Linked DNA regions of Oryzias latipes. The protein of the gene in region 1 purifies or fractionates together with the protein of each later gene. This does not show direct contact. Links are inferred from orthologs where the notes say so. Each region holds a gene or a part of one and is shown on either strand. Other genes may lie near its edges.

The links. Proteins that work in one complex are often made in the same cells at the same time.
Region 2: the proteins of cyld (region 1) and spata2 purify together in Homo sapiens (affinity purification with western blotting; 10 studies listed by BioGRID and IntAct, with this or other methods). This does not show direct contact. The link is inferred for Oryzias latipes from reciprocal best matches to the Homo sapiens genes CYLD and SPATA2.

Annotation. Positions count from the first base shown.
Region 1 is NC_019861.2:30,227,106-30,231,466, forward strand, and holds the start of cyld (ubiquitin carboxyl-terminal hydrolase CYLD), read right to left. Parts: upstream 2,820-4,361; 5' UTR 2,455-2,819; intron 1,428-2,454; 5' UTR 1,376-1,427; coding exon 884-1,375; intron 1-883. UniProt on the Homo sapiens protein: Deubiquitinase that specifically cleaves 'Lys-63'- and linear 'Met-1'-linked polyubiquitin chains and is involved in NF-kappa-B activation and TNF-alpha-induced necroptosis.
Region 2 is NC_019865.2:15,134,121-15,138,408, reverse strand, and holds the start of spata2 (spermatogenesis-associated protein 2), read right to left. Parts: upstream 2,852-4,288; 5' UTR 2,746-2,851; intron 1,782-2,745; 5' UTR 1,322-1,781; coding exon 971-1,321; intron 578-970; coding exon 1-577. Other genes in the region: E3 ubiquitin-protein ligase RNF114, read left to right, coding at 3,560-3,696, 4,208-4,288.

The DNA.
Region 1 (4,361 bases):
CTTGAATGAAAAACTGCATCGAAGAAATGAAAACTTTGAAGAAAGACATGAAGGAAAGAGCAAGTCTTCTCCTTGATCGACGGCGAAGGTGATGCATATTATATTTCAAATTCTAATTCATTCAGGTACTTGTTTTTTTTCTTCAACCAATAACTTTTAATTACTTTTAAAGAAAGACCTTTTGTGACTTCGGAAAGTTGATTTCCTGCAAAACATTGTATTATAACCTGCTTTTTTTGTTTATCTTTTTTTCTTAAGATTTCAGTGCTTCCAGAATATGTTAGAAGTCTGAAACTGCATTATTTCTAAACAAATACAAAGAGAAGGCAAAGTAAACTAATAATCTCTTCGTGGCAATGTTTATGTATGAGGATTTGTAGCCAGTTGTTGGAGCAATTTCTCCAACCTGATCCCCGGTAAACGCACCCCTTCATGTGTTCAGCACTACTCTGCTCAGACACACCTGATCCAATCAGACTCCATCAACCTTTGTAGAAACTTTACAATGATTACAGTCATTAAAGCCAGATAGGATCGAAACCATGCAGGACAGTTGGCGTTCTGACAACCAGGCTTAGGAAACGCCGATTTAAAGCCCATGCAAATCCACCTTTAATGTTTTGGCATGTGAATACTGAATATCAATTTAGGTTTAAATCAGTTTGGTTGTAAATTAATGCTTTTTATGCAAACTCATCTCGATGTGCAAGACAGAAAAAAAATTGTTTTGTCCCCGTCAACAAAATGCTGTAACATTTTTAAAGCTCAGACTTTTAAAACCATTCCTCCAGAAGCAGCACAACAATCCTTAAAAAACAGAATGAAAATGCAAAGCTTGCAATTACAAATACAAAACGTATGACCGATAAAAGTTATTTCTCACCAGCAGCTCCACTCCAAACCAGATTCCCGACAGGGCTCTGTCAGGCAGCAGTGAGCCCTTGAAGCGAACCACACCTGGCAGAGGCTCATCCCCTGATCGCAGCTGGACACGCACCTTGGAACCACAATCGATGTCACGAACCCGCTGCAGACGTTGCTCGTCGCACAGCAGGGCATATCGCTCCTCACAGTTGGTAATGGGGAACAGCAGCTCAGCCAGCTTCTCCTCCAACTCCAACACATCCCGCTCATCCAGGCTCAGCACCACGTTGGTCTGGTCCAGGATGCGGAGGCTCTTCTTGCCCTTGCATGGAGGGAGAGTTCGTCCCAGGCTATTACGCTCCTGACAGGCCTGGCCCAGGCTACCACGGGGGATCCTTAGGGTCTTCTGTGCAGGCTTCTCCACAGTACATTCTTTTATGACCATGTAGAAGCGCCAGTCCTCCCTGAAGCCCCCACCAGACCTATCCTGGTTCCACAGGGCAGAGCTCATGGCTGCATGGTAAGCAGCAGGACCAGCGCCAAGGCGAGCTTGACCAGGGGGCCTAAAATAAAAAAAAAGACATGTTCAGCATTTGATGGACAAGTGATAGGAACGTGTTAAGACTAACAACTCTGATAGAGCTGGTAAGAAACTTACAGACACTCATCTATATCGTTTTGTCTGGGTTTTTTTAAAAGACACCAAACAAACGGGTACAATGCAGCTCTGTGCAGAATAACACTTGCTTCAGCAAAAACCATTAAGTCACACAATAGCCTGTGGCACATTTTTGTCTCGTTTCCCTTTCAGAAATCAGACTAAAGTATGAAAGCATGCATCTTGGTTTGAGTCGAGTTTTATATGCGGACAGAGAAACCAATACTTATCTCAAATATGTTACAAGTTATGATTAAATTAGCAAATTCTGAGTCTGCAGGTAGTCATGAGAAAAAAAACACACACTGACATGTTGTTATTCACTGCTTCACAAGTGCACAGATATGACATTCAGCTCAGGATGTATGAAGCTTCTTCAAAGCATCACCTGAGTGAAAAACCCATCTGTTTTTGGCTACATTTTTTGGAGCAGTTAGTCAGATCTACTGATTTGAATGAACTATAAATAGCATAAAACAGCGTGCAGAAGACAGACAGGTCTAACGCCGGTCTGACTGCTGGATTTCCCCGATCACACCTTATCTTTTGGTCACCAGATACGCTCAACAGAGATCACTCTGCTTTCACATCCGTCAATTGTTTTGAGCAGCGCATCACAGTTCACAACCCTGACGTTGATACCTTGTTGAGAACGAATTAAACACCTGCCTCAAAACAATCACACAATTAAAACCGAGCTAATCATTGCTAAGTAAATCTCTGCAAGGTGATAATACACAAACTAGTGCTGCCTTAATCTTTCTATTTGTTGGCTTTGGGTGAAATTGAATTTTTGAAAGCCTAAAGCTGTGATCTTCCTAGACTTAAATATTTTTTGAGTGTCTTTAACAGCTGTATTTAGAAATCTGCCAACAACGGCCCCAAAAGGGAAATACCAATATTCGTTTTCCTTATGCAAAAACAAATCTTACCTTTTGTGTGTGTCGAGTCACCTATAGGCCAAAAAAGGCTGTCATTTCATACATCCATCTTTGCTTGACGGGGGCGCCAATAGAATATGTATAATATTCCTGTAATAACCTCTGATTAGCTAAATAGCTAGGTAATGGTAGCGTCCGGACTAGCTAAATATCAGGCTAAAGTCGCCTCGCGAACAGTTTAGGAGCAAGCTAGCAGGCAGGCCGCTGCTCCTCGCTAAAGTGCACAACATAACATTTAAACGAAATACTTTTGGCGTTTCAAAAATACGTAAGAATAAGGCGGTGTACTGCTGCATATGTGAGATTTATTATTTACAGGAGCCGACCTCGCTACAGTTAACAGATGACGTACTTTGCACTCTCTTACAGACATTGGTCATGCGTTCCGTACTCGTGTGTTGATTGGCTAGTTTTCCTGTCAATCTTCAAGTTCCAACAGGAGGGGGTTTCCCACGGCTCGCAGAAAACCAAGTCTGGTTGAGATGTACAGTGGCTCTTTAGAGCTATAGCTCTAGATCGGATGTAGGAAATGTTCGATTTTGTCAGGGTCCGCCATATTAAAAGGGTAATGACTGTACCATTATCATATATGTAATGTTTTAATGACTTTTAGTGAATTTTTATATATTACAACTATTCTTGAGTTAAACTAAATTCTACTCTTTATGTGAAAACAAGCTCTTGTGTGCATAGTCTAAGTGTAAAAAAAAATAGAAGTGCTATTTTATAGGTCCTTTAAAAAGGTCTGAAGCGTTGTCTTGTAACTTGCTATTGAGTTATTTCTTTTTTTATGAAAATTTGTAGGCTGTATGAATCCCACTTTAGCCCTGTCAGGGTCACACGGCTGCCAGAGCCTAACCTGGCTACTGTTGTGCGAAGGTGGGGCACACCCTCTAAATGTCCCTAGGTGTGACTGTGTATGGGCGTGTGATTGTGTGGCCCTGCAACCAGCGGGCGACTTGTCCACGCTGTATGAATCATTAGTAAACTGGGATAGGCTCCAGCAGCCCCTTAATTACCAAAGGATTGATGGATGCTGTAACATACCATACTGACTTCACTCGTGGGTTATTTTCCAAGGCTTCAATGAGAGATTCCACCCCTGTCCTGGTTATGCAGTTGTCCGTCAGCCTTTTCATAGCAAACAAGAATTATGTTTTTGATTGTTATAGCATTGAAAACAAAACGGAAAACATTAGTAAACTGGGATAGGCTCCAGCAGCCCCTTAATTACCGATGGATGGATGGCATAGATGCTGGAACTGTATCTGATTTATACAAGCTACTGGGCATGTGCATCTCTAATTACTCCTAAACACATATTTATATTGCTTGATACTGACTTCCTAATGCGGTCATCAGAGAATCCACATATTCCTACCATAACCAGCTCTTTGTTTTGCTTTTTCTCCCATCAATAATACGGCTGGTCTCTTTTATTCTTTAAAGAAGGGCAGTTGTAGATTACAAAACTAAATTAAAATACCTCTGTTGGCCTGCACAATAAATGGCAAATGTATTGTTATCGCAATATCAAGCTGTGCAATATGCATATCGCTAAAGACGGTTAAAATGGCAATGCATGGTTACCTTAAATATGCTAAAACAATCTTATGGCAGTTTGTAGTATTTAATGAAAAAAACAAATCCCTTTATGTGTTTGACCAATCGAATAGACTCCTTTATATCATAGACCAATTGGATGGAGCCCTTTTATGTTAGATTTTTTATGTGGGTCATTTGGAATATATTTTTGTTCACTGTTGCAGTGAAATGGAAATTATGTATTTCCTTGTTTAAATATTTGTTCATATACTGCAAGTTATATCATCATCGCAATATTAATCACTAATATCGCATTTCGCACGTTTTCCTCATCATGCAGCCCTACCTCCATC
Region 2 (4,288 bases), on another chromosome or scaffold:
GAGCTGCAACGGAGAAAAAAGATGCCGAGGTACTGGGCCTGATGATCTCGTCCTTCATATCTTCCTCTGCATCCACAAACAGAGGTTCCTTCCTTAAGCTCAGCGAGGCCTTCAAAACAGGCTTGCTCACAGCTGGGTGCCAGTGCCCAGCCCCATCTGTAACATCCACAGATTTGGAGGGTCGGCTACCTCGCCTTAAGTGGTGGGCGTGAGGTCTTTCTATATCCAGCGGTCGCACAGACAGACGAGCCATGTCTGCCCCGAGGCTGTCACGTCTACGGAGCGCCTCAGCACAGCCAGCTGCATCATCTCTGCTCCCTCTGCGGAGTTCCAGGGCCTCCAGCTCTGAAGCTGAACCACGAGCCAAAGCCACTACCTCTCCCAGAAGACGACACTCTGCCTGAGCCAAGAAGAGCTCGAATGCTAATTGGCGCAGATGATTTGAGCCCACAGGATGCTCCTGCAAATGGAACTGCGAATTATGATCACAAGCATACCCAATGGTGCGCATCAAAGTTCGGAGTTCCGCATCAGAAATGACAGACTGCAGATGGTAGACGTATGGCCCAGTGAAGGTCTGGAAGAGAAAACATGTCATCTGTATTACTGTCTCCTTAAAAAAAAAGGTAAGATTAACCAACAACACAAAAAAAGTAAATCCAACAGTCTTTAATTTTTTTGAAAACTGAATTCATGTAAAATATATCAAAGTTTTATCTCTTCTAAGTTCTACAAGATAAAAGTTTTGAGCTACCTATAAATTCTGAATTTGTATTTTTTTAACATCTATTTTAGATGTAAACAATCTTTGAACCCTTATCCTCTTCGCATCCTGCACTTCTCTTTGCTCACTGGGTAGAAATAAAAACTCAGTAACACTGTAACATCTGTATAAATACTACAGGGAACTATTGTGTTTGTTGTGGTGATCAGTCTTATTTTAGGCATTACCATCACAAACTGAACTCACCTTTATACATCTAAACTCCTTTTTCCAAGGGAAGAGCAAGAGATTGGTGCAGATGGTTTCCAGGGTGTGAAATGCTCTCTCCAGGCTCTTGAGACTGCCTCCTCTCTGGCAGTGAAGGGAATTATCCACAATCTCGTAGAAACGCACCATGCGAAACCTCTGTCCAGGATCTGGCTGGTAGGCGCCAAGCAGAGCCGTTGCTGTTGAAAGTAGGGCCTCCTTGTCCTTTTGTCTACTTTGCTCTCCACCCGATGTAGTTCCGGTCCCCGTATAATCACCCCCCTCCTCCAGACGTTTCTCCAGTGCTGTCACATACCTCCGAAACAGATCTTCTTTCAACTTGGCATCCATTGTCAGAAGCAGACTTTCAGTCAGCTTTTACAATTTTCTGAGAGAGCCCCCCCTCCCCATTTAAGCACAACCTGCACCGGGATGCCACATTTAAGCACCATTTTTAGTCACCATAATTTCCTGTACAGATTGGAACTCAGTCACTTCTTATGTATTTTGGGAGATGAGGGAAGAACTAGATTTGAGTCCACTCTGGCGTACCCCTTCTAAAGTAGAAAGACAGGTGACTGATGCTTTCACTTGGTGTATCCAGGCTGCAATCGGCATGGATACCGTCTTACAACCATCTCTGGTAAAAGCTCAAGACTCAATTTTACCCCAGAAGTGAAGTCAGAAGATGTTTTTTTTTTTTTTGCCTTTAGAAACAGTTAGGCTTGGATGCTGTGAATGCGGAGCTCCACGTCCCTCTTCTAGAAGACGTTCTGTTCGTTAAACGATTCTTCTGAGCCACCTCAGAGTCCTAATGAGAAATCAAAATGACAGAAATAGAAATGTCATTTAAAAACACAAGCTCAGAAAGTATTGTTACGAGAAAAGCTTCACTTTAAGTTACAAGATGTCGCAACAACCACTATATGCTCTGCATAACTAATTATTCCATTTTTTAAGGGAAGTAAAGCATCACTAATCTCAGGCAGATTAAGTATTTTGTGTGGGAAGCATTGTGTGGGTTCCTTAATTAATATTGTCAGTCACAATCGTAAACCTGCTGCATTACTGCGAAACGATGACCAATAAGGAAGGGGAAATATAATGGGTGACTGGCACTTGAGGCTGACGCTCGACACAGATAAGGCTGTCCCTTTCAGTTAACGTTTCAATTGGAAAAGGATTTATCGGGGCTGTCCACACGTTACCCTAATTATATGGCGGGACATAAAACAGGCAAACTGAACCGACAGGTGACTTATGAAAACGAGCTGCAATGTTTTCATGCCAGAGGAGAGGTCCAGGAAATTGGACGTCGTTTCCTGGTAAATAAATCGGGTGGCTGTTCCAGTTTTTTTGCCCTGGCATTGGATATCCAGTTAGCTAGCAAGCTACATCAACATGCCTTTTCACTGCGCATCAGTTAGGTCAGCATCGTTAATTAACACGGGTGATGTAAAACAACACATCCACTGTAGAACGTGTTCTAAAAGACTTTCGACATCCTAAATAAAACTGGCACTGACCCCCAAATGAGTACAAGCTAAGCAGTGAACGCCCATTTAAGCGCAGATGGCTAGTTAGCAATTGACTCTGGGCGGGCTAGCAGGGCGTTCCATTGCTACACTCACTCAGCTATTTCACGCTATATAAGAGAAATTACCCAAACAGATAAAATAACAAGCCATTTCTCTTATCAACAAACATGTTATTACGATACTGTAGGTGTTACGAGTCATAACCAACCCAGAAACACAATCAAATCGTTATCTTACCTTTTCATAAGTGCTAACCATCGCTAGTTACGCCTCCTCAGCTGTTGAAAATTCATTTTTAGCGGAGTACGCATGCGCAAAATCTTGACAGTTCATGACCACTAGGGGCCCACGTGTAAAGGGAGGGGATTCAGAGCCCACACTGACAGTCATTAGTATTAGACAAAACCAACAAACAGATGCACATAATAAACCCTATAGGTAGACCGTCAGTCATTAATCATTAGACACTGCAAACGCTAGTTTTTTTAGACGCTAATTAATTTCACCACCTAAAGTCACCCACAATAAGGAAGTGTTGATTTGGATCACAATAGTACAAAGGCCAATAGTTTGGTTTATATTTATGTTTTTAATTATGCAGATAAAATATTTACTGGTTTAATCAGAGGCCAAACGTAACAATACCAGGCTGCATTCTTCGATCACCTCACCTGCACCTAAAAAAGATGATGGATACGGACATTATTCTAAATTCCCCAATTACTGACAATGACGTTAGAAAACGAGGACGATTACATTCTCTTTTGAATTGAAAGTTATATTTTCCAGTCGCCGAATGACTGCCTTAAACTTAGTAGAACTTGGAGGTGGTTGGATTTTACAGTTATGGTGGAGAATTTCCGCCATAGACCTCAAGTTTGAGTCAACTGCTGCACTGCCAGACAGAATAAATAGAACTGCACGTAGAGCAGCCTCTGCTCATACATGCAGCGGTGGCTCCGCCCCACGCCGTAAAAAAACAACCAAAACCCAGTGACGTTGCTATGGGAAGGGTTGCTTGGAACTAATGCAGTGAAGAAAAGAAATAGAAATGGCGGTGCGCGGAGGATTTAGCGCTGCACAACAGAGAGAAACCACTGCTGACGGCAGCAACGACGTGTCAGATTTTATGTGTCCAGTTTGCCTCGAAATCTTTGAGAGACCTGTCAGAACACAATGTGGACATACGTAAGTATTTCGCCTTATTTTGACCACCCTCCCCTTACTGAGGCTCAGCACCATCGATGAAACGATACCAGTTAAAAACAATGAAGGGAAATGCTTGATCTTTTAACGCATTCTGGCATTAACAGAATGCCAACGTTAATATTCTTAGATTCGCTATGAGCTAAAATTCTGTAATGTTGTCTTTTTCTGCGTGTATATATTTGGCAAAACCTATTCTAGCCTGTTAAATCAGTTTCAGTTTTGTTTACATCAAAGAATAGGCTTTATTAGGGAAATGTAGTTCATAAATCTTTTGCAGTTACTCGAAAGACTAATGTGACGGACTACAAGTCCCTGCGCCCCCTTGAGGTGGGGATTTCCATCGAATTTACCGGAAGCTAAAGTAAAAAATAATTGTCTTTGAGAGCTGTGTGGGTATTAAATAATTCCAACTAATCAATTATATTTATGTGAGGATTTTGTTTAAATATTTGTCTTTTTATTGTTGTTATTTCTTTCTACCTCTTGGCAGATTCTGTCACAATTGTTTGCAAGAGTGTTTGCGTCCTCAAAAGCCCGTATGTGCGGTATGTAGGACTACAGTTGGGCCGTG